Linked DNA regions of Drosophila melanogaster. The protein of the gene in region 4 purifies or fractionates together with the protein of the main gene of each other region. This does not show direct contact. Each region holds a gene or a part of one and is shown on either strand. Other genes may lie near its edges. The genes, in order: prd1, ema, unc-104 and Rab39.

The links.
Region 1: the proteins of Rab39 (region 4) and prd1 purify together in Drosophila melanogaster (affinity purification with western blotting; one study listed by BioGRID). This does not show direct contact.
Region 2: the proteins of Rab39 (region 4) and ema purify together in Drosophila melanogaster (affinity purification with western blotting; one study listed by BioGRID). This does not show direct contact.
Region 3: the proteins of Rab39 (region 4) and unc-104 purify together in Drosophila melanogaster (affinity purification with western blotting; one study listed by BioGRID). This does not show direct contact.

What each region holds. Positions count from the first base shown.
Region 1 is NT_033777.3:11,780,975-11,788,791, forward strand, and holds prd1 (pruning defect 1), read right to left. Parts: upstream 6,041-7,817; 5' UTR 5,649-6,040; intron 5,455-5,648; 5' UTR 5,395-5,454; coding exon 4,509-5,394; intron 4,440-4,508; coding exon 3,561-4,439; intron 3,491-3,560; coding exon 2,652-3,490; intron 2,597-2,651; coding exon 2,444-2,596; intron 2,385-2,443; coding exon 1,981-2,384; intron 1,926-1,980; coding exon 1,712-1,925; intron 1,659-1,711; coding exon 1,458-1,658; intron 1,397-1,457; coding exon 1,028-1,396; intron 966-1,027; coding exon 846-965; 3' UTR 157-845; downstream 1-156. Other genes in the region: HisCl1 (Histamine-gated chloride channel subunit 1), read left to right, coding at 6,608-6,720, 6,791-6,974, 7,048-7,357, 7,472-7,606, 7,668-7,817.
Region 2 is NT_033777.3:16,436,371-16,443,562, forward strand, and holds ema (endosomal maturation defective), read right to left. Parts: upstream 5,292-7,192; 5' UTR 5,049-5,291; coding exon 4,843-5,048; intron 4,790-4,842; coding exon 4,650-4,789; intron 4,587-4,649; coding exon 4,438-4,586; intron 4,381-4,437; coding exon 4,238-4,380; intron 4,182-4,237; coding exon 4,095-4,181; intron 4,034-4,094; coding exon 3,243-4,033; intron 2,988-3,242; coding exon 2,871-2,987; intron 2,804-2,870; coding exon 2,342-2,803; intron 2,281-2,341; coding exon 1,695-2,280; intron 1,630-1,694; coding exon 1,423-1,629; intron 969-1,422; coding exon 653-968; 3' UTR 510-652; downstream 1-509. Other genes in the region: mRpS33 (mitochondrial ribosomal protein S33), read right to left, coding at 1-110; Ttc1 (tetratricopeptide repeat domain 1), read right to left, coding at 5,702-5,978, 6,033-6,547; CG14882 (uncharacterized protein), read left to right, coding at 6,918-7,007, 7,058-7,192. UniProt on the Drosophila melanogaster protein: Required for mitophagy, autophagy and endosome maturation, possibly by acting in multiple membrane trafficking pathways. Required for endosome trafficking and maturation.
Region 3 is NT_033778.4:16,762,985-16,767,700, forward strand, and holds the start of unc-104 (uncoordinated-104), read right to left. Parts: upstream 3,017-4,716; 5' UTR 2,849-3,016; exon of another isoform or gene 2,631-2,848; coding exon of another isoform or gene 2,406-2,630; exon of another isoform or gene 2,377-2,405; intron 1,391-2,376; 5' UTR 1,154-1,390; intron 357-1,153; 5' UTR 314-356; coding exon 214-313; intron 150-213; coding exon 67-149; intron 9-66; coding exon 1-8. Other genes in the region: CG42392 (uncharacterized protein), read right to left, coding at 2,406-2,630; CG5348 (uncharacterized protein), read left to right, coding at 3,885-4,195, 4,253-4,587, 4,657-4,716. UniProt on the Drosophila melanogaster protein: Required for presynaptic maturation, has a role in axonal transport of dense-core vesicles carrying synaptic vesicle precursors, components required for the morphological transformation of axonal growth cones to mature boutons.
Region 4 is NC_004354.4:7,733,184-7,737,277, forward strand, and holds Rab39 (Rab39), read left to right. Parts: upstream 1-1,739; 5' UTR 1,740-2,044; coding exon 2,045-2,152; intron 2,153-2,580; coding exon 2,581-3,129; 3' UTR 3,130-3,573; downstream 3,574-4,094. Other genes in the region: Pdp (pyruvate dehydrogenase phosphatase), read right to left, coding at 1-306, 836-949.

The DNA.
Region 1 (7,817 bases), on a different chromosome or scaffold from region 4:
CCCCACACTCATTCGGAATATAGGGTCCCACACAGCATAAACCCGACTTAGAGCCCAGAAAACCCTTTCCTCTGTAAACCCTTTCACCACTTGCAATTATTGAAAATGTCAAGGACCATCAGCGAGCTCAGAATAAATAAAAATTCGTTTTGTAATGGCGTTTATTGGTTTTATTAATTATCATGAGCTTTTAGTGGGCTGAAAGGCTTACAGCGAAATGTCGGGCGTTGGGAGGGGAATTTAATCTATGCTAATTGAAAAGGAGAGGCACAGCATTGCAAAATAAGATTAAGTCCACCATGCACACTTTTCCTAATACACATTTATAAATGTTTGTTTTGTTTATTTTATAAATAGCCACATATTGTTTGTCGTATATCATATGGATATGATCCTTGGACCAAAAGAGCACCCCCAAAACATAACATTACCGATTGATTACATGTCCAATATTCGTATAAGTTAGATTATGTATAATATTTTGTTTCTTATTATCTGTGCAATATTTGTACACAATGTATTTATAAAAGGTAAGAAATAACGAATGTAGAAAATCAATAGAAACTAAATATCCTACAAAAGAGCATACCAAAGATCAGCGACTTTAAGTTTAATATCACAAAAATTATTCAAATGAGATGTTACTAAGCGCAAACGAATGAATGAGTCAAGCGGAGGCACGCATTACAAAATCATAATACATAATACATACAGACTATATAAATATCAATACTTTTTGTTCTTTAGCTATTTGAGTATTCAGGATAGAATATTTAACGCTTGAGTAATGTATATGGAAATATAATTTTCTATTTGTAAATGGAGTATATATGGCCAGAGCCACGTTAACCCAGCGCAGCTGATAGCAAAGGCTCCCAGGCCCTATTTGTGTCCATATAAAGTTTATTATATTGCTCGGCCAGAGAGTCACCGTCGTCTAGTATGGTTATTGGAAATAGATCGTTCTGTAAAATTAGAATATTTCGTTATTGCTAAGGAAAGGTTTAGTAGTCAACGAGAAACATACATTCTTAGACTGCCAAAGCTGCTCTAGCAACCGCAGGAAACGTTGCATTTCCATGCTGCTGGCAAAGAATATAACCAAATCGTCCTGGTTTTCCAATGGTGCCTCCTGGCAGGAGAACTCCAGAATGCACCACCAAGTCTCGCTCCGCGAGGTTATCTTAATGCCAGTCATCTCTTTGATGTCCGCACAAGTTAGTATGGCTAAACCGGAGTTCTTTCCGTAAACACTGGTCATTCTTTGTGATTTTTCCGGCGAAGCTACAGTTTCTTTCGGAGCTGCATCTTCGTTTGTTTGCTTAGTAGGCGTAGAGCTTAACGAGGAATATGAATGTTGAGTGCCACGGGTAGGAGTACTAATGGTGGAACCCATCTAAAATTTTAAGTCCAAATGATTACGAAGTTTGATTTGCTAATACAATAAGCGCACTTACTAAGCTACTGGTTTCAAAAACACTGAGCATATCCTCCTCAAGCATGGTTTCTTTATTTCCCTGAACGGCTGCATTGTTATCCGCCTGCTGGCTTATTTTTCGTAGAGGAGCCGAAAAGTCTTCACGCAGGGTTATTAAATGGTTATCCGTGACGATCAACGTGCATCCAAGGGTTTTGTGCTTCTCCTCTTGAACCACAAGCTAAACACAACAAAAAGTTAAAACAAATCTTCTAATATTAATTGTCTACTTACGCCACTGGCTGATTGCAAAAGAGCCTGGAGCCACTCGGAGGCTACATACTCGTCGGGCGCAGCCATTTGCAGGACTTCGCCCTTTAGCGTAATCTCGAAGCAGTGGGGGCGCTCTGATTTCACAGTTCGCCGGGCGCCCTGACACTCGGCGAGGGCCATGGCCCAGCTGGGAAGCCTTTGGGTGGAATCGTTGAACATATACAATACGCCAGCTCTAAGAAATGAACACATATTAAATTGAATTCCTTCAAATATCGAGAGTTACGAACTTCAGTAAAAAGTATCCTGGTTGCCAAAATATTCTGTTCGCTGCTGAAGTGCTGATCGTCTGCCTAAGTCTTCGATGCATGAGGAATCCCTTCATTGAAGGTCCCAGCAGTTCGCTTGGCGATTCGACTCTCATTGACCCTCCAGCTGGCACATTAACCACTGCATAGAGCATCCAATGTTCTGCTACGCCAACACAGCTGTTGGCACGCACAAAAGCCTGCAGTGGAGCCAAATGTTCTAGAGTCAGCTGACCAACTGCAGGCAGAGTGGATCCACTGCGTCGGGCACACAACTCCAGGTTGGCTACCAGGGATCCGGCTGGATACGGACCACCCGCGAGCAGGACCTGCTGCATGTCTCGATTACTGTTGCTGAGCAAAACTGTGTTGCCAAAAGGTCCCATCTAAAAAATGATGTTGCATTAACTAATATATCACAGCAATGTCATCCGTTAACATTTACCAGTATGACATCCAAGTCCTTGTAGGCCAAAACAAACTTGACACACAGACTATTTCCTTCCATATTCACCACATACAGAGTTTTATCAGTGAGTAGGACAAGTACAGGTGTCATGATGCCATCTACATTGTAGCCTGTATACAGTTTGAAAGCCTGAAATGATAAGTTTTTATAATTGATTGCTATTTGCTACACAATTACAATCTACCTTCATTAGCTGCTCATTTGATTGTTTCAGATTGAACAAGGACTTTCCTTTGAATACATCAATTGAGATCTCCCCAATGCCAAGTTCGAAATTGGACAAGTTGCCTTGGAAATCGTTATCCAAACTAATGGCAAGTTCCCGTCGCGGCGAATTCGTGCCACACATCTCAATCTCCATGGCAATCTCTGCATTTAAGTCATCTATAAGCTCGTAGTTCTTTGGCCGAGCACCCTTCACATACAGATCGGATCCGGCATGCCTCTGTTCGGTTCTCAATTTATCGGCAAAGAAATTGTTCTTGCGTATGGAGGTTTCCATTATTTTCTTCTGTGTGACATTACGAAGGAACCTATTTATAAGTGAAGTTTTGGCCGCCGGAGCTGGCGGCTTCAGTAAGTGAGCATAGTCCACATCTGTGTAGTCTACGATGACCAAATCGCTGTCCATTGAGCGCGCATTAGTTGTATCTGTAGTGGTTATAGTTAGTATGTCGTCAAACTCTTCGCTGAGAATAGTGCTCTTTGAGTCGCGACCACTACCTCCTGGTCCTCCGCGTCCAGCGGCTAGGTAGGCACTGGGGCTGTGGAGGCTCCGACTTTGGTGAGGATGCTGTTGGTCGTAGTAACGGGGCGGCTGTAAGGGTTGTCCACGCTTCTTGAGCGGTGAAGGAAGGTGTCGAGACTGACGCTCCGCGTTGCCCAGCTGCGGATTCATTGCGATTTGATGGTTGCTGCTGGTGTTGGTGTTCGAACTAGGTTCGGATATGGTTGATGAGGAAAAGTTGCGCTGAAGTTTGCCCGCGGCTGGTGCTTGTTGCTGCGGCTTAGCGATTTTTGAAGCTATATAAGCATAATGAACAGTGTTAGTCATCGGGGAAAATATTAATTCAAATGAATATTATTTGCTCACCAAAATAGTTATCTGTGACTGCTTGCTCGTCCTTTGCAACTGGTGTGCTGTCTTTGAAGCTTCGAAAGAAATTACTAAACGTCTTGGCAATGGGAGCATCCAAAAATGATTTCTTAATTTGACTAGCGGCCGGCTCTGCGATGGGAGTGTTTTGCTCGAGCAGACTGGCTACACTGGTGTGCTGAATACCGGATGAGAGTTCGGATTGCAGATCCCCCGTCTCGTAGGATACTCCGGTGTGTTCGAAAACAGTGCTCTCACAATTAATTATAAACTTGCTGCGGAACTCGCCCTGTGCGCTGCCCATTGGCACTGTTTCCTTATCGAATTCCTCTTGGCGATGCAACATCAGTGACTGTTTTGACTCCATCGGCGAGGCTTCCGTGGAGCTGGCACCATCGTCTTCGTTCTTATGCCGCAATTGCTCATCAACGTTGTGCACGAATTTCTTAACTGGTTGTGCCTGCTTGCTGCCGTCGAGACTCTTGCTGAGGAATGGCTTAGCTCTAAGAGGCGGTGACTCGGCCGCCGGCCGCGATTTGTGCTCTGGTGTCTGTTCCAGCTCAGGGACGCATTCCACCACCGCCTGCAGGTCTTCGGAGCCCTCGGGAACTCCGCGCTCCGGCAATGGCATGGTAAAGATGCTCTTTAGCGATCCAAATATCATCTTGCTACTGTTGTCGAGCAGTTGGTGCTTAATGTCGTGCACGTTAAACTTTTTTACCCGCCCATTGAGATCCTGCTCGAGTATGACATTTGTATGTAGCTTAGTTTTCTTTAAGCAGCTTGATTTCGGCTTCTTCTCCTTATTCCATACGGACTTGACTTTGGGACTGTCAGCATCTCCGATATTGGGCTCTGAATAGTAGCAATTGTCACCTAATTGTGGGATAAAGATTAATGTGGATATACATCACAAGGATTTAAGCAGAATGTTATATAGCTTACCGATTAGATTGTTGTTAGCATTGCTCATACCAATGCAATCACATGAGCTGCTCTTAGCCTGCTCGTACTGCTTACAATTCGCATTGGAATTTTTGTCTTGTTCGTCGGAATCCAAACTGGAGTTGGAACTGCTGCACACGCACTTGTAAAGTTGGGGTTGCTCTTCCTGTTTTTGGGTCGCAGGGCCGTACTCAAAGACACCTGAGGTGTCATAGTGCAGACCGGGCGCCTCGTCCGTGTCAAAAATGTTGTCGTAGTCCAGCACATCCGAGCAGGCATTTCGGTAGACCAGATGTCTCTTTCGCCTGGCACCTCCGCCACCGGTAGCCTCCTCGCCATCGTCTTCCCTGCCAGCGGCACTGAGTTCATTAGGTCCCTCCGGACGTTCCCGATCCGGACACCAGGAATATCGTCCTGGAGCGCCGGCCACGCCCGCTGAGTTAGCGAAGGCCAACTTGCGTCCGTTCTTGTAGGTGATAAAGCCATGCTCAATGTGAATGTTGTCGGTACGAGTGTTCTTCAGTATGTCCTCGTGGAAGGACACTCGCTTTTTGGGAGTTTTGGAGGCGGACGAAGCTTTGTGCACTTTGCGACGGTATACAATCTTCTCCGTGGTGTCGAACGTAGAGCACTCGCTAATGGTCATAGACTCATCCGGCGCTGCAGTCACATTGGAGTTGGGATCCACCAAAGGGAGGGGCATCGGTCTAACGTTTTCCTCGTAGGAGCAAATGGACTCCACCATCACATCGCTGTTTTCCGAGTCCAGGAGTTGTACTCCCGAATCGCTGGGCGTGGTGTCCTCCATGGTGCTGCTGTTCAAGCTGGAGCTCATCTTGTCCATGCCCAAATTGTTGTTGGCCTTGGGCAACAGAGGTGATTCCATGGTCGTTTCGATTTTCGCACTTGTCAAGAGTTATCTACGCAGTGATTTTCGTCTATTAACCTACGGAAAATTGTAAAAGTCGGTAAACCATTATTTGTGTATCTCGGCGTTCTTGCTATTAATCAATATCCACAAGTTGCACAATGCGCCGCAGCAAATCGCGCCAGTGCACAAAGGAAAATGACCCCTGACCCAGCACCCCCTTGAAAATCGCACCGGGATTAAATTCACACACCGCTGCTTCTGTCACTCACCTGCGATTGTATCGCAGGATTCCATGTTACTGTCGATCTGGGTGGTTTACGTTTCCTTTTACGCTTGCTTTAAGAGTTTTATGTGCAGATTTATCGCCACTTGTACATTTTAGAATTGCCAAAAAAAAACGTCTTGGCAAGTGAAACAATCAATATTTTGACCTCATAGAGTTGCCAGTTCCGCGAACAGCTGATTGCGCGCCAGAGCTGCCAGATAAGAGAAGAGGTTGGCAACGCGGCCTGTTACAGCAACGGGAAGTTCCGGTTTTCAAATAATATTTTTGTAAATTTTAAAATTCAACAATTATTTAACACATTATGTAAAATGTTCCTGAAGAGTTAATTCAATTTTAAGACAAGTTTGTATTCGGCTTTTATTTAAAATATTGTAGAGCACGTATTTGCATTTCAAGAAAATTGGGATTTAAAGTTAAGAGCAAACCCAGAACAGTTTGTGAAAACGTACTTCGAAAGCAAATGCCGGAACATGCCGATAAACCCATTTTTGACATCGACAGTTGGCGCCCAGTTCGCTTGTTTCGCGCAGTCAAACGGTTTTTCATATTTCACAGATATTATTCGCAAATACAGAGTGGACATTTAAATTAATGCCCTTGTCAGTGGGTGCGAACATCATTTCCTCTTTGCCATTTCGCTAACCGGGGTCAGTTGTCAATTTGAAAAGTAGTGTAGTGTGGGCGAATGCCAATGAAAGCGAATGAAACCTTAGAAATCAATTTATCACACTTTGCAGCACATCACAATCGTCGCGATAACTCTGCCGTTTCTTTATTGGTTTTTGCTGCGCGACGAGTAAAATATAATTCCTCGCTTACTAATCCTCCGAGCAAGTTCATTCTCAAGCGCACCCAGAGATGAGCTACTTTGGGAATTGACATGGACTGCGGAGCAATGAGTGCCAGAGGAACAATATCAAAGCCGAAGGTAGTGTGTTCATAATGCAAAGCCCAACTAGCAAATTGGTAGAATTCAGGTGCCTGATTGCGTTGGCAATATATTTGCACGCGCTGGAGCAATCGATCCAGCACTGCCATTGTGTTCATGGTTACAGGTGAGTCCGAGTGCGTTTGCCCAGTTTCATCAGATTTACGCCACAGGGCTGTTCTGTTCCACATATGCAGAAATAACACGGAGAGCGCCGAGCTGGTCTCCCACTACGAGTCGAGTCTTTCGCTCCCGGACATTTTGCCCATTCCCTCAAAGACGTACGACAAGAACCGGGCTCCCAAGCTCCTCGGCCAGCCCACAGTAGTCTACTTCCATGTCACGGTCCTCTCCCTGGACTCCATTAACGAGGAGTCTATGGTCAGTAGAATGTGTTCATCTTTTCAATACTCATCACTCAGCAAACACTAATTGGCTTATCATGCTCCTTTAGACCTATGTGACGGACATCTTCCTTGCACAAAGCTGGCGTGATCCTCGCCTGCGGTTGCCTGAGAACATGAGTGAGCAGTATCGCATATTGGATGTCGACTGGTTGCACAGCATTTGGCGGCCCGATTGCTTCTTTAAGAACGCCAAAAAGGTCACCTTCCATGAGATGAGCATTCCCAATCACTATCTCTGGCTGTACCACGACAAAACGCTGCTCTATATGTCCAAACTCACGTTGGTCCTGTCGTGCGCCATGAAGTTTGAGTCCTATCCGCATGACACGCAAATCTGCTCCATGATGATCGAGAGTTGTAGGTGGAAATGTAATGGTTATCTACACCCTGCAAATCCCGTATCGCTTGGAACTTTCCATTCCGCTTCTCGAATTACAAATAATCTGTGTTGAACCGAGTTTTGATTGGCAGTATCCCATACGGTGGAAGATTTGGTTTTCATTTGGAACATGACCGACCCACTTGTGGTTAACACGGAGATTGAGTTGCCGCAGCTAGACATATCAAATAACTACACAACCGACTGTACTATAGAGTACTCAACAGGTAAGACTAAACTATTAAAAGCCATTTTTTTCAATATAATTTATATTTATTTTATCTCTAGGTAACTTCACCTGCCTGGCCATTGTGTTCAACCTGCGCCGACGCCTGGGTTACCATTTGTTCCACACCTACATCCCCTCGGCTCTGATTGTGGTCATGTCTTGGATATCGTTTTGGATAAAACCAGAAGCGATACCCGCCCGTGTAACTC
Region 2 (7,192 bases), on a different chromosome or scaffold from region 4:
TTCTCGTTTGTGGTGCGAGCCACTTCGCCGAAAATGCGATTTGAGAGGTAGTTCATCCGGCGAGCATACTGCGTGCCGACCTTAATCAGCTCCGTGTACTTGTGGGACATAGTTAATATTAGTTTGCTATGCTTTTCATGAAATAATTTAAGTTAAGTTTCTAAGTTTTAGTAAATTGCGGTTATGTCACGAAACAAAAACAAGCGACAGCTGATTTCCAAGTGCAGTTGGCATTCACACAAAAGGCCGACAATAGGGACATTCCTCAAATTTTAAACCTGTATTGACCGTTATTTTAAAGATTATTATAGAACATTTACTTGAAAACTGACTACAAAACAGCACTGGCGTCTATAGACAATTCAGTAAAATTAAAAGTAAAACCTTGTTATAAAAATGAACATATGCGAAATATAAGAAACCCACATTTTAGAACAATAATTTGTGGCTTCCATTATCGAAGGTTCAAAAAACATACTTCTTTACTAATATATATATAGACTTGAGCTCAAATTCGTCAAATTAGTTTTTATTTAAAATGAAAAGGAATTAGAGTATGTACCACCTTATTAGTCAACTGGAATAACAAAATTTTAGCAACAATCTAAGCATAAGGCTGCTTCCAATGTAATACTAAAACTTCTAGTCTATCTTAAACCGTCTCTATGGCCCCCCGTCGCCTGCCCTCCGATCCGCCAGTGGCCTCGTTTCCGTCGCTCCCAATAAAAGAAGTCTCCTCGGAGCTCTGCGTTGGGAGCACTTCACGGTTCAGCCCATTTAACTGGCTTAGCAGGGCGTTAGTTCCCCCCAGGGACGCTTCACGTGGTGAGCCGCTATGACCGGACAGCTGATCGTAGTGGAGCACGCGGATGGGTGTGTGTGAGCGGGAGGCAGGCGAGGGGTTTCCCCGAGAGTGCGGACTGTTGTTCCGTGAGTGCTGGAAGTCCTCGAGAGGAATCTCCTCCGACCTAGAATGAAAAAATATTACACATTTATTTATAACTCGATTAGGTGAAAATTAGTAAATTTTATAATTAACAAACACATAGAATAACGAGGACAGATAAAACTGGAGGGCTTAAAGGCATGCTATTCTTTGTTTATTTGTCAAAATAATATGCAAATAAATATAAAAATATAGGACAAACGATATCTTTATACATAATTATACAAGGTGGTATTACAAGCAAACTTAGTCAATCTTAAAGATTTTTTTTTGGCCAAGGAGCCAAAAATGTAGCAAATTTCGAGAATCATGTAAACAGCTCGATAAATTATAAAATAAACTTTTTGATGTCTTGGGCGTAATCCAATTAAAAAAAATAGAAAGACTAGTTTAGAATACTGCAATACTTTACAAATCTCAATTATAACAGAAACCATTCTAAGACTACAGAGCTAACGAAAATGTTTCATTGTTACCGCGGCCTGGGCATTCTAGGGCTGCTCTCCCGCGACCGATTTCCAGTACTTCTGGGCTGGGAGTTTTCCCGAGACTGCGAGGAGCTGTGGCTGCCCATGCTAACACTGGGCGATCGCTCCCGATCCGAGTGATCGGCCCTAAGATTCGAGCCCGAAGTTGAGCTGGGACTGCGGCGTCGGGAGCGGCCAGCGCTTTCATTTCTAATTCTGCGGGAAGACGCACAGATGAGGATGGAAATGAGGAACATGAGGACACACCGACGTGAACTTACCCTTCGATGGATCGATTCGGGGCCATCTGGGTTCGACTAACCCCAGCGCTATTGCTTCCACGCAGCACCGCTGCAAATCCCGGCACTCGATTGGCCGTGGAGAACATGGGACGGTGGTGACTACTGCGCGAACTGCTGCCACTGCTGTTACCACTTCCGCCGCTACTGGATGCGACCATTGTGCCACCAACAGCGTAGACGGGAGAGTCCATCTGTCCAGGAATCTCGATGAGTTGCGCAATCTGGTACATCTTCTTTTGTCGCGCCTTGCTACGACCCTTTGTCAACCTCTGCTTGGCAGCCATGCAACGGATGTGATCGTCGAACAGGAACTTAGCCGAGAGCAACGGAGTGCGGTTGTGAGTGACTCCGCCCCGGTGCACGGTGATGTGCAAGCAGCGCGAGTCATCCTTATCACCCTGCACCTCTACGTCCTGCAGAAAGCCAACGAACTTTGCCACGCCCCAGCCAAGCAGCTTTGCATCCGGCTCGACGAGAATTAGCTGCAATGCGTCAATGACCAGAAAGCGTCTTTGCTTGCTGCTGTCCTTGGCCACAACGGTGCAGGCTATTAGATCACTATTGTCTAGATGGATAATGGTTAGCCTTAATATATACATACATCATCGTAGGAGGAGTATACTTACTCAGATCGAGTACGTTCTCCACCTGAACCAGATTGACTACATTTGTAAGCGGCAATAGCGATTCCTTCTCATTCAAAAACTTTTGGCACGTGCGACGCAGCAGGAAGTAAACGCGAATGGCTCGGCGTGCCTTTTCCACCTCCCCGCAGGGAAGTCGTCGCGTAAAGTTGATTCCAGTAAGTGGCGTTCCCGTGGGAGGCAGTAGAATGGTGGAGTCCATGCACAGGAATTCCACGTTCAGTTGCGCCTTTCGCATCTCGTTGTATTCGTCTTCGAACAGGTCTAGGAAGATGTCCTCCGACTTGTAGAAGTTACGGATCACCACCATCGACTGATTGCGGGCGCTGAAGAGCAGATCCTGTTGTGCGGCGGTTATGCAGCGCGAATCATCCGAGCTGGGACGGGTGAAAGTGACCAGTAACTCCAAGGCAATCTCCACGGTAATCAACCGAATGCGGGACGCTTTAGGGAATTCAAATGGAATTATTAAAGAGCTAATGATAACCGGAGTTCGAACAGTTGTACATACATGGCTGACTGGACTGGGTGATGATGTTTAACAGATGCTCAATCAAGGCTGTCTTATAACTGAAGGCGCCACGGGTTGATTTTGCAAGAACCTGCTCGAACCACTCATTCTTGATGCCTATATGGAAAGGTACATAAAGATATTTATTAAGGAGACTATGATAGATGCATACGATTGATTAGTACGGGCAGTGGACGAGTTACATACCATCTGAACGGATTGGGACATGTACCAGAATGTGACATTTTCATTACACACAAAGAAAGCAATTAGAATGAAGCAAAAATGGGGTGATCAGAGCAATGGAAAGTTACACAACATTAGCCAAAAAAAACGTCAAATTGAGTTAAGGGAAATATCCATGAATATTACCTCTATTGTGCGACATAGCATATATGAGGCACAGCGACAGCAGGGCAAGGTAATCGTTTTCGGTGCAGTCCAAAGCATGCAGGACCGTGTCTAAAAACGGTTTGGCCATCTCAGCAAAGTCAGCCTTCGTTGAGGAAGATGACTTCTGCAGCAGCTGCTTTTCCTCGTCAGTTATGTTGCGCAGTTTAATCTGCTCCGCTTCAACCGCATCTGCTTGAGAGTCCAGTTCTGTGGTGGCTGGGGATGAGGACTCCACGCCACTGTCCTCGCTAAGGGCATAGCTGGACGAGCTGGACTGACCGGTGACTGTATCCAAGGCCTGTTCGAGACTCTCGTCGGGCTCGCCGAAGCCAGGCACAACCACCTCGCGGTGCTCAACGTATGAATTAAGAATCTCGGCTGCACCCTCCTTAAAAACGCTGTGGTCACCATTGAGGATAACCCAGGCCAGAGCGTGCACCAGAGGGGCATGCGAAACCACCAGGAAGACCAATGAGAGCAGGAAAAGGGCCACGATGGAGCTCACTCGCGGATTGTGCATCTCCTGTATGTCGATGTCCACATTGCGATTAAGCACAGCAGCTAGATTCTGGGTAACCACTGCCAGTGAGGGCGGGGGCGGAGCTGGTGTAAGTGAGAATATGTACAGAGGCACGAATAGCTTATGCAGCAAGTGCTCGGTTAACACCGCGTTCAGATCCTTGATTTCCAGTAGAAGAATGTCACTCAAATAATGCAAATGATCCAGATGCTCGGCAACCAAATTGGACAGCTTTTGATTCGATTGATGGCTGCGGATGAATTAAGAAATCAATACTATAAAACGAGGGACTATATTACAATAACTCTTACTCTATATCTGTGCGAACACAAGTGTCTAGTTCAAGAATGTGTTTGCCGATAAACCAGACCAGATTACTGAAATATGGAGCAGCCGTTCTAGGGAGAAAAAAATAGTTTAATGGAGCTCATGGGACTGAAGGCAAAGGTCGTACTTGTCTCGAATAAAACGCAACATGCTTGGATTTTGAACCTTGTAGACATTTAAGGAAATGGTGCGCACTGCAATTCTCACCATTGACTCGGGATGATTAAAGAACTTAATAGCCTCTGTATACAAGGGAAAGTCATTTGTGTGCTGTAAGGAATATGTCACATTAAATGGATGTAAATATGTGTTTTAGGCAATGCAAACCTCATTGTAAAAGAAGTGTATTGTGTGAGTGTTTAACTTTAGACTTAGCGTCTTTAAAAAAAGTATATAATAGCCCATCACATCCTCGTCGGAGAAGTCAAACTTGTGCACCATGATAGAATTTACATGGTTGTTGCTCAACAGATAATCTGCAACGTCATAGGAATGATTACGTCTACTGTATTATAGAAACTGTTGAAAATTGTACTTACACAGGGACGTCTCGTTGCGTATGTTCTCAAAGAGGATGTTGAGAGTCTGAAGGAGCTGCACGCAGACGAAACTCGAGCCTCCACTCTTTTGTCGCATTATGTGCAGGAAATACGATAGCATATTCTTCTCCAAGAAGAAGCTGTTGCAAATAATTAGATTAAGGTTTATTACATTGAGATGCTTAATACTCACTCAAACACCAGCGAGTCATGCTGGTCGCCCCAAATCAGGATCTCTGCGATGCAGCGCAGCGACTCCACCAGCAGGCCACGATTACTTTCCGACACGGTGGTGTTCTTCTCCAGAATGCTGTACAGGTACTTAAGGTGCTCCAGCGACAAGCGGTTTTTGGGCCGCCCACCCCAGGGTCCGCCAAACCAGCTGCGACTCCGGAACATGTTGGCAACTAGGATGGAATCAACTGGCCACGATCCGCCTGACTGCTCTCATATCAGGGTAAGGAGGAGTGCGGGAGCGCTGTTCTCTTGGATCTTTGCATGCACTACTGCTCACGGTCACGCCACTGGGTTGGCCCACAATAAGGGGGCACCTAATGCCTGCGATTGCACGAATCTAATATTGTAATTTGCGAATGGCGATTTTTTCCAACAAATTGCTCTTCTTCTTCACGGGGAACACAAGTGTCACAGTCAGCTGTTGCTTCCGCCCATATTTATGGTTATCGGTATCGAAGTAACAGAGATGACAAGTGGCTATTTTGTTGTGATTGCATGAGAACTGCGACTGGTTCACGACTTTTAAAAACCTCTCAAAAGAACCGTTTGAATTTTGTAAAACCAGACAGTAAAATTTGGAACAAACCTCATATATTAATAGCATATCACACCATGCATTTTACATTAAATATAATTAATGGATTTTTTTGGTACCGTTTGTTATGAAAATGGGTTCACATTTGCATATTCTACAGAGGTGAAAATGTACGAGAACTGAATTTGATACGTTTTGCTACAGTTTGACTATTATTTTACACATCATCCACGAATACGGCTTTATTTGTTGATCTGCAGAGCATTAGCTAGCTAGGTTTTTATTTAAAGTTGATGGAATACGAGCCCGTGTTGGGATCCTGTTGCATTTGGAAATTCTGTGTAGACAGTCCGAACGGTTTGAGTATCATGTTGCCCAGGTCCTTTAAGCTGGACATCATCTCGTTTTTGAGCTTCTCGTTGCGCTCGTTTATAATTGGCGGCAGCCGAATCTGAGCCTCGCGAGCCTCCTGCTGACCGGGATCGATCTCAGTAACTTTTTTGTAGTCCTCCAGAGCCTCGTCGGGCTTGTCTTCTTGCTCATAGAGCTTGGCGCGCCTGTAAGATGTAATTAGACTTTAGAAATTTTAAGGGAGATATTAAAATAAAGACCTTAAAAGCACCCTCACATACTCCGGCCACAGTTCTATAGCCTTTGTGCAGTCGTCGATGGCCGCTTTGTTGGCCTCCAGCTTAATCTTGGCAGCAGCCCTGTTTCCGTAGAGAACTGCTCGCTCCTTGGAGCTGGCCGAGGGGCAAATGTCTAAGGCTTCTGTGTAGGTCTTGGCGGCGCCTTCGGCGTCGTCATTTTTGAACAACTCGTTGCCCTCAACTTTCAGCTTATCGGCCTTTTCTTTGTTAGCTGTCAGCTGCTCTGGGCTGAGATCCTTCTCCCGTTCGCGCAACTCCTCAATGGTTAGCTCAGAGTCCACTGTCGTTGGTGTCGCGATGGAATCTCCACCAGCCGCGCCCTGTTCCGCTTCGTCATCCAACGCCAGCTGGTTTTGCTTCTCCACGATCTCATCCACGTCCTTTTCGCTCTGCCGCGTGCTGGTGGCCTCTTTTTCGGTTATCTCCTCCCCGATCGCATCATGGAATTCGTCGTCACTGTTGGCGTTGCCTGCCATTCTTTTTAAAATTGATCCTTACCGAATTTACTGGAGATTTCGGTTTGTTGTTCAGCAACAAATAAAGCTCCTCATGCTAACGATAACTGTGCATATCGATAACACCGATGTCGTACAGTGTTGACAAAGGTAGGTTTCTGATTAGGTACCTTCCCAAGCTAAGAAATGTTAGGTACAGATAATTTTTAAAACAAATAATTTAAGGATAATCCTTAATGTTGTATTTGGCAAAGATGAAGACCAATTTAAAATAAACATTTAATCTTTTACAGCTTCCCTTGATAAGGGAAGCTGTAAATAAACTCTTTCCAACACTACCGCTTGTTAACGATTTGACTGCTGCCCATGCGAATTGGTAAATACGGGAAAAATGGACTTAGGAGCTTATAAATTGAGTGAATACATCCCCGCCAAGCCGCTGGTCGGTAATCTGGAGTTGTGTTTCACGGACGAAGAGCAGGTGAGTTAGGAGCTACCGTGAGAATAGCCTTTTCAAGCCTATCTTTGTAGAGACCCACCGAAACATGCGGCCAACTTAAATGCTGCGATATTTTAAAGTTCCCATTCGCCCGCCCTGATTTCCAGCCAAGTTCAGTGGAGATAAAGGAGAGCAAGGTGCTCGTGTCTGCTGATAAGGCTACAGAG
Region 3 (4,716 bases), on a different chromosome or scaffold from region 4:
TCGTGGTGCTGTGATGCGAATATAAATTTAAGTAAAATTTTTTCTTGGACTCGAAATAAAACTTACATCATGTGACCAGTAGGAGTAATCAAAGTTGAAGCGCTTTACTGAATCGCTTGTGTTGGGCGGCACCTTTGGATTGGTGATGGCTGTCAGGACATAAGATTGAAGTATTTAATTAAGAGAAATCTAGAGTGTTTATGGGATTCTCACCCGTTGTGGCTCCTGCCATCTCGATGATGCATTTCGACTCCCTGGCTATTTCGCGCGAGTTGAAGGGGCGCACTCGCACCGCCACCTTAACCGACGACATCTTGTCCTTCTTCCTCTCTGTGGGTGTCCTGGTTTCCGGTTAACTGGAGTGGAAATAGAGGAACGGGAATACTTTATAGACATTCGAGTCATTCGAGTGGGCTGCAAATTGGCCAGAGACTACCACTGCCCAGCACTGACATTTTATAATTGCCCCAACTTTATGGTTATACACTCGTCCACGATTTGTTTCTGTGGCAGCTCGAAGCTATGAGTCATACCCCCGGCAACTCGCCAGGGAAATTTGAATTGAAGCCAGGGGTGGGGCTAAGAATTTATTATTTGCTGTCCTATATGTGCAATACGTCGAAGACTAAGCCGGGTACATTGCCAACTATTTTATAATACAAATTTCTTATAAAACAATAGACGTTAAGGATTGAAGATTTATTGCTTTCGAAACATTCTAGGTGAGTTCTCTTTCTCCTCTTTTTTTTTAATAAGAAGTGATACAGTTAAAGAAAGTTAAAAATTCTTTATAATTTTGTTAGATTTTAGGTTTGTTTTTCAGTAGTTTTATCACTTATCGTAATGGATTTTAATGCAAATAGTTTTCCCTCTAGTTTTTACCCTCTGACTCACACACACGCACACACACTCACACACTTGAAGCAGGGGGAAAAATTCCACAATCCACAAATGCTTCCAATAAAAGCGCAGACGAGTGTCGGCCAATAGTCGAATGAGTCATCGAGCAAATACAAGAGGCAGAATAAAGAAAAGTACTCACACCCCACAAAAGAAAGAAAGGACCCTTTAAAGGCGATGCATAACGCGTATTTTCAATATATTTCTTAACTTTGTTAAAACAAATAACTACCATTTATGGAGATTAAATTACCTTTAGTTTAGGCCAAACGATTGCTGGCTTATTGGGCGGCTATATCCTTAAAGCTCATTATAGCATAAGTTGTAAGGAATCGATTGCACTTATGTGTGATTTGATTTTTAGTTAATGTTTGATAAGGTAAAATTTGTTTTTTTTTTCGTTTGTCACTCTTTGCTTTATTTATTAACTTTCTAGTGGTAAATTCACTTGACCAACTGAGAAATTCTTTCACTCGCGTACACTAGCGTCCTGAAATATTGTGAAACCAAGTTTAGAAGCCATTCCAATGCGCAGCTGTGAGAATTGCTCTCTCTTTCCTGTCCTTTCTCTCTCTCTCTTTGTTTACCTGACCAAAATACTTTTGTTTATGTTTTTTTTTTGTTCTTTCAATTTTCCGAACAAACTGTCAAAGCAAATGTGCAACAGCCTGCAGTAAAAAGTCTCCACAGGAAGATTTGCGCAGAAGCGCGAGACAGGAGAAATGTGGAGAGAAGACAGAGAAAGGCGAGAGTATATATAGAGAGTGTGGGAGCGAAAGTGGGATAGGATATGCTAAATATTTGTGTAATGTATTTTATTTATTTTTTGTATGATATGCAGACTGACGCTGGTTGAAGGCGCACGAAACGATAAAAGAACGACTATAAGAAATTAAAATCAGGCTATATCCTTTTCGAGAATGTCCACTTCTCAACGTCCTTAGCTCGTTTTACCTGGCCAGGCTCTTGAAAATTTATTCGTCACACAGTCAACCCTCATTTGCACTTGAGAAACGAACTAAGCACTCGAGGTCCTTTGCAATACCACGCTTTTGTTGCCTTCTGCGTCATATTTTTTATGGCTTCCTGCGGGGCAACACGGCGGGCACTTAATACCGTATGCAGGACCTCTCACCACACTCATATGCGCGCCCCGTCTCATTCGTGGGTAATATCCTTGCGTTCGCTTGCGTTCTTCTTGACCTTTATTAATAAATTTTCAAGTTGCCTTTGCCATGGACACCGAGCCAGGAAATCTCTACACTCTACACACACTATGCACACTACTCTGGAGGCCACTGTACACTAGATGATGGGGGGGGGCAAAAATTAGCGAATCAAAATTATGTAAAACGTAATTATGGGCTATGTTTTATCGAGAATTTTGAAATGTTCGGTCGAGCGAATTGATGAAATTTTGCAAATATATTTTGAAGCATTTACCAATTGATTTTCTGTTTCGTTTTATTATTTTTCGGGGCATTATACTCATTAACCCATGGAACTCAAAATATTTTCTGTTTTAGGAACATTTGTGGTTGTTGCTGATAGTCCGTTGGTTGTTGTTGTTGCTGCATTTCTTGGTCTGGCTGGTGTTCTTGTGTGTAATTGAATACTAGTACAAAGCTATCCAACATGGATCGCTTGGAGGTAGTGGCGAATATAATGGACAGCACCAGAATTGTTGTTAACAATAGGGCGAAAAACAATAGGTAACCAAAAGCGCACATTCGCGTAGTTTCTTCTTCTTGACTTGGCTAAAGGATTTTTGAATATATATTATATATATATGTAGGCTCTCGTATATGTGTATATATGTGTAGGGGTCTGTCTTTCTGTATAACAGCGAAAAATTTTCACTCCTTTTTTTGGGGGACAAATAATTGATAAAGTTTTAGTTTGCCACTGTATCGAATTGTTTTAATTTGAAACTTGTTAGTTGCTTTACTTGGCTGCGCTTTGTTTAAACGGTTGGGCAACTTTTCGCTGATGAAAACTCTGAGCTTTTCTGCACAAAATCGATGGCCAGTCAGCGGAAGGCCTTAGGAAATGAAATTCGCGCACGACTCTCGAGACCAGAACGAACTGCACCCGTTAAGGGTAGACGACACAGTGAGCAGTTCTGGGAAAGTTCAGAGGATACGACGACCAGCCCACCAGCAGGACGCATGCGCCGCAATCGGGGTACAAAACTGGAAGAACAGCAACCGTGTGGGCTGTATGGTATATATGGGTATGCGAAAATTTTTTTTTTTATAAATTTCATACACATAGCGTAAAAGGTCCGCAATAACAAAACGACCGTCTGTCATCCGCGGGCACAAGGAATTTCATTATTAGCGCAAGGTGTCCACTTTTTCGGACGGCCACTGTGGCAGACCCCCAATTTTCCCCGATGTTTGATCTTATTATGAGCCATTTCACATATCGCTGCCGGCACAGTGGCTATAGCGACGGCTTTATCCACCAGCTGATGACGTAAAGTGAATTCTTTTTATTGATTTCCCATCGCACCGAGACGCAGGACAAGCTTTGGCTTTTTATGTTACGCGGTAGTCGGTAATCGGTAGTAGGTATTTGTATACTATGTATATATTCTACGGCGTAATTACATTGACATTGAAATCTGACGGCGAGGCTGGGAGGGCAGTAAAAAGTTGGAGGTTTTGGCTTTGGTAGGGAAATGTTAAAGAATGGGGCTTGGTAAAAGAATGTGCTGGAAGCTGGACGTCCTCATCTGTGGGGAATCTTTCATCATTACATTTAACTTTTTTTTAATTATGAAGTTTACAAGCTTAACAAGTGGTTTAAAGTGCAAAAAAAAAAATACAAGTATTATCATCGAAAACAGCGATTGTAGCCGGAATTAATTGTTGAATTAGTTTTTTCTGATAGCTCTTAGGAAATCAAAGTAATCCCAGAACTAGTTTCACTTTTACCCAATTCAACGCCAAGATTTCGGACTACAAACAAGTAAAACTAAAATGCCGGCCATCGACACAAAAACAACCAAATCCGATGTTTTTACCGTGAAAAACGCGTTGGATGCGGAATTCGACAATTTTTGGAAAACGGTTAGCTGTTTTGCGGCCAACAACTTTCCGTTCGAGGAGCGATGTGAGTTCGTACAGAAAGCGGAGGACTGCAATTCGAGCACAAATGTAATTCCATACATGAGACTCTTGGCCTGCGATCTGAAGTGTATCAATCAGTTCCAGGAAATGATCTTCATCGCCTTGTTCGTGGCGTTTTGCTTTCAGATATTGGTTCTACTAATTTACACAATCAATGTTTAGTAAGTAGCTAACTAAAGCGAAGATTAAAATTGAGCTTGAAATGCTTGCTTTTGCAGCTATAGTCCTGCTCTGAAGGCCGTATCCCGATTCCTTCATATGAACGAGCATTTGGCGGGAGTTACCCTGATGGCATTTGGAAACACTTCTGCCGATTTTTTCGCCAACTTGGCCAGCGTTGAACGACATGTCCCTGTGTTTGCCAATAACTTGTCGTCAGCCCTGTTTGTGATTACGATTTCCGGTGGCCTAATATTCTACATTTCGCCCTTCAAGATGAATTCCTACGAAACTGTCCGGGACATTTTATTTCTTCTCTTAGCGACTTTATTGATGGATTACTTTGCATACACGACAAACCATTTCGCATTGGGCTATGAATTTAAATTTTTCAGTAAGCATAATAGCCCAAGTCGATTTTCTCTTTTTCGCAAAAATGTAATGGCACTGACTTAAAATTTAGTTGTACTCTTGGTTTACATTAGCTACATCATTATCAACGTGGCAGATGTGTACTTATTGC
Region 4 (4,094 bases):
ATTGTGGCACTTGAGGAACGACTGGCTGTCGGCACCCTGCTTCATCTGCTCCCGGAGCACCTGGCGCGGCAGCGTGGCCGCCGAAACATAGCGAAGCAGTCGCTTGGACACCACTTGGCCACATGCTGCTCCCGCATGCCCGTCGAAAATGCCACAAATGAAGCCGTTGCGGTGCAGGAAGCTGGCCTCCGTGCGGGAATCCTCGCAGGGCCAGTTTGATCCCAGCTGATTTGTTTCATAGCTGCGGATGACTCCATCCACGGGAAAGTTGTAAACGAACTCGTTCTCCCTCAGAACAAGGTTAACCTGTGAAAATAGTTTACATTAATACAGATTCTTACTCTTTATGTGGGAATTACAAAGGTTCCCATGGTAATAGTTATTAATCAGTTAATTCTTATTCGGTTCCTAAAAATTTTGTTCTTAAGCCGCTTGGTATGGACTCTTGTCCAGTGCAAACGATCAAATGAAATTAACTGCTCAGTAAAGGCATTATAAATGGTTGCTGTAGTTGAAATATGAATATGGAAAATCGAATACAGTCGGGTCGACGTCGTTCACTTTGTTTATAGGAAAACACTCGGGACTTTCTTGAAAGCCCTTGAAAGTAGTTATTGGATCTTCAGAAAATTATGCAGGCTTTATAGTTAAATTTTTAAACGGCTTAGGGATGTAATGCATAGATTTGTGGTTTCTAAAAGTAGCTTCAATAGGAAAAATCCAAAATAATTAATAAGTAAAGAAGTACTTTCGATCGAAGATCTTACAAACTGATTACATTTTACGAACCCTGCCCAGCTTGCTAATGACACTTGCCAGGAACCCCAAATCTTACATCGTATGGACTCAATTGAGGCAGTTGCGGCAGCAGACGCAGTGCATTCAAACTGAACTCCCGCACATTGGATCGCACGTAGCTGGCGGCGTCGTTCAGCACGAACTTGAACATCTATATGGAGATTTTGTATATGCTCTCGCCCCGCTGTGGCTATAATTAACGGTAATGATATTGGTTCCGTAACCAAATCGGGGGAGGAGTAGGCAAAGAAGATGGAGGAGAACGTGGTGGATTCCGTATCCCGGAGCCTCCGGCTGATTCACCGACTCCGGTTGCCGGTTGCTGACAAAGGGATCTTATTTTCCGCTGTTGCTTTTGATTGGCCGGCGGCTTGTTTGTACATTTGTGTGCTGTGAAATACGAAGCGGACGGTGTTCACGGAAAACAAACGTAAAAAGAAAATACAGTGCGTACTAGCGATGGGTTTTTCTCTGCACGAGACAGCCTAGAACGAAAATGAACACGCACGTCTTAATTTATGTGTCAAAGCACTGTACAAGGCCAAATCTTTTTGTGTAATTATTGTAAATTTATTAGCTTAATATGAAAGATTATTTTATTTTTTTTGTCATATTTTCTCAGAACAATTTAAACTAACTACATTTGTATGCATTCATCGTGTCACGCGAAATCGCGTTCTTTGACCATCTCTATTGGGCGGCGGTGCCAGACTGGCGGTGTTGCCATTAGCCGGTTACCGTTTTCAAGCCAAGTCTAGCTAGTTTTTGTGTACCGCCGAAAAATACATCTAAGCTTGTTAAAAAATCTGAAAACTGCCAAATTGATGTGAGGACACTATTTTTATTAAATAATTTAGAAGATATAACTGTTTAATAATGGTAATGAAATAATTTCATTGTGGCTACTATCGATTACTTTTGCTGGTCTGGCAACGTTGTCATTATCACACACACGCGCACGCATATGAGAAAAAAACACAAAACAAAACAAAATTCGAAGGAATTTGAATTCTCGAATATTTATAATTTAACAACCACCAGCGACAGCCGGAAATATCTCATTGCAAAGCCAGTAATCGTGTGAAGAACAGAAAGTTTCGATTTGCAATACAACTGCAGGAAATAAGAAGAAAAACGAGCAGCATAAGCAAATCAACGATTTGCGTATCAAACTTTACAAAGGGAAGGCAGATTTTTTGCTGCGGATTCAATTCCAAGAGACAAATCCCTCGAATTCGGCTTCGGAATGGTGGAACCCATTTTCGAGTATCAATTTCGACTGATTTTAATCGGCGACAGCACCGTGGGCAAGAGCTCGCTGCTCAAATTCTTCACAGACGGCAAATTCGCCGAGGTGCGTATGTCCAACGATTTTGGCCACTGTACTTGGACGCTTGGCCCACTGTGCGATCTTCGTGAGATGCAGTTAATGCGTTCATTACATAATTAAGTGATTGCATTGGGCGAGATACAACAAAAAATAGACAAAGGGAGTGGATTTTAAAAAGATGCTGCCTTAGTCACCTTGTCAGTGTGTGTGTGTGCTGGTGTGCATGTTTGTGTGCTCGCCTGATAATGCAGGCAGCAAAAACAACACACAAGTCCAAAATAGGACCAGGGATACTCAAATAACTGCGCGGGAAATTTAAAAACATAGAGATATCATGAATTGTGTGGAATCAAAAGTGTTCTCAAAAGCATTACAGCTCTAAACTGCGTTTCTTTTTACTGCCTCCCAAGAATCCACCTAATCATAAATAACACAATATTTACATTTTGCAGTTATCCGATCCCACAGTTGGCGTCGACTTCTTTGCCCGCCTCATCGAAATGAAGGACGGCACACAGATCAAGCTCCAGCTGTGGGACACTGCTGGCCAAGAGCGCTTCCGTTCGATCACCAAGTCCTACTACCGGAACTCGGTTGGCGTGCTGCTGGTCTACGACATATCGAATCACGCCAGCTTCGAGCACATACCGCTGTGGATGATGGAGGCACAGCGTCACATTGAGCCCCACCGCCCCGTTTTCGCATTGGTCGGCTGCAAACTGGACCTCATCAATGCGGGCGGACACCGGGAGGTGACCACAGAGGAGGCACAAAAATTTGCCAAACAGCACGGTCTGCATTTCGTTGAGACATCGGCCCGGTCTGGTGCCAATGTGGAGGAGGCATTTCGCATGGTCACCCAGGAGGTGTACGCCCGCATTCGATCCGGCGAATATAAGGCGGAGGATGGATGGGACGGCATCAAGTCTGGCTTTTCGCGACCCAATAGTCTGGACTTTAATCTCGTCGTAGCAGAGCCGGAAAAGTCATCATGTTGTTGATTCACCCCGACCTCATTGTCTATTATTTTCAATACTGTTTATGTACATTGATTTGTATCGTATGACCCACCAGTACTCCTTTTCCCCCCTAAACACCAATTTGTTGACTCTTTAATCTTGTTTAATCGTCTAGTTTAGCTAAAAAACCAAAACAGTTACGTATATTTACACAATGCGTTTTTTTTCTAATTACATATAGTTAATCGCTTTTAAGTTAATATTTAGTTCGGTGACTCACGGTAATTAGTGAAGATTGAGTTTGAACCCCTCTTTCCAAATTATGTTTACTTCGCCCCTATAATTGATAGCCAGTCACACGAGGTATACGTAGCCGAGATTCTGCGCTCCTAACTCATACAACACATAACTCCACATACACAAATACGAAAGGAAAAGCTATACATATACTTAAAACTTGAAATATAAACGTTTTTATTAATACGGACGGCATGCATTTGGTTAATCAAGGGTTAGCTTGGGCTTTGTTTTTGTCTAATCTAATCGATTTAGAGTTTTTATGCACATTTCTCCGCTTTGTTAAATCAAAGGAGTCTTGAAGCAATTGTCAAAAAAGCAACCTGTGTGATACACAAACGTTCGTAGCTGCACGGTTTCCAAAATTTACAATTTTACAATAAAAGAATTCGCGGCATATTTGGCGGCTGTTTACATATATGTGCTTTATTTCGTTTATTAAATTTTTCGCAAAGTTTAGTCCACTTGATAGATAACCCAAAACTTAGCTGCGACGATTTCTATTGTTGTTTTACACCTTCGTAGTTGTGCTCAATCAATCTAGATTTTGTTGGAAATTTCCATAAATATTGGTGGCCTCATCGGTCTGGCAACAACAGGTAATTCCTTTAATTCTTTAATCATTACTTGTTTCTTAGTAGTGCAAATTAAATAATGTAATGTAAAGAAGTTGGAAAAATCTTTTTCAAATTTGTTCGCGCATGTGACAG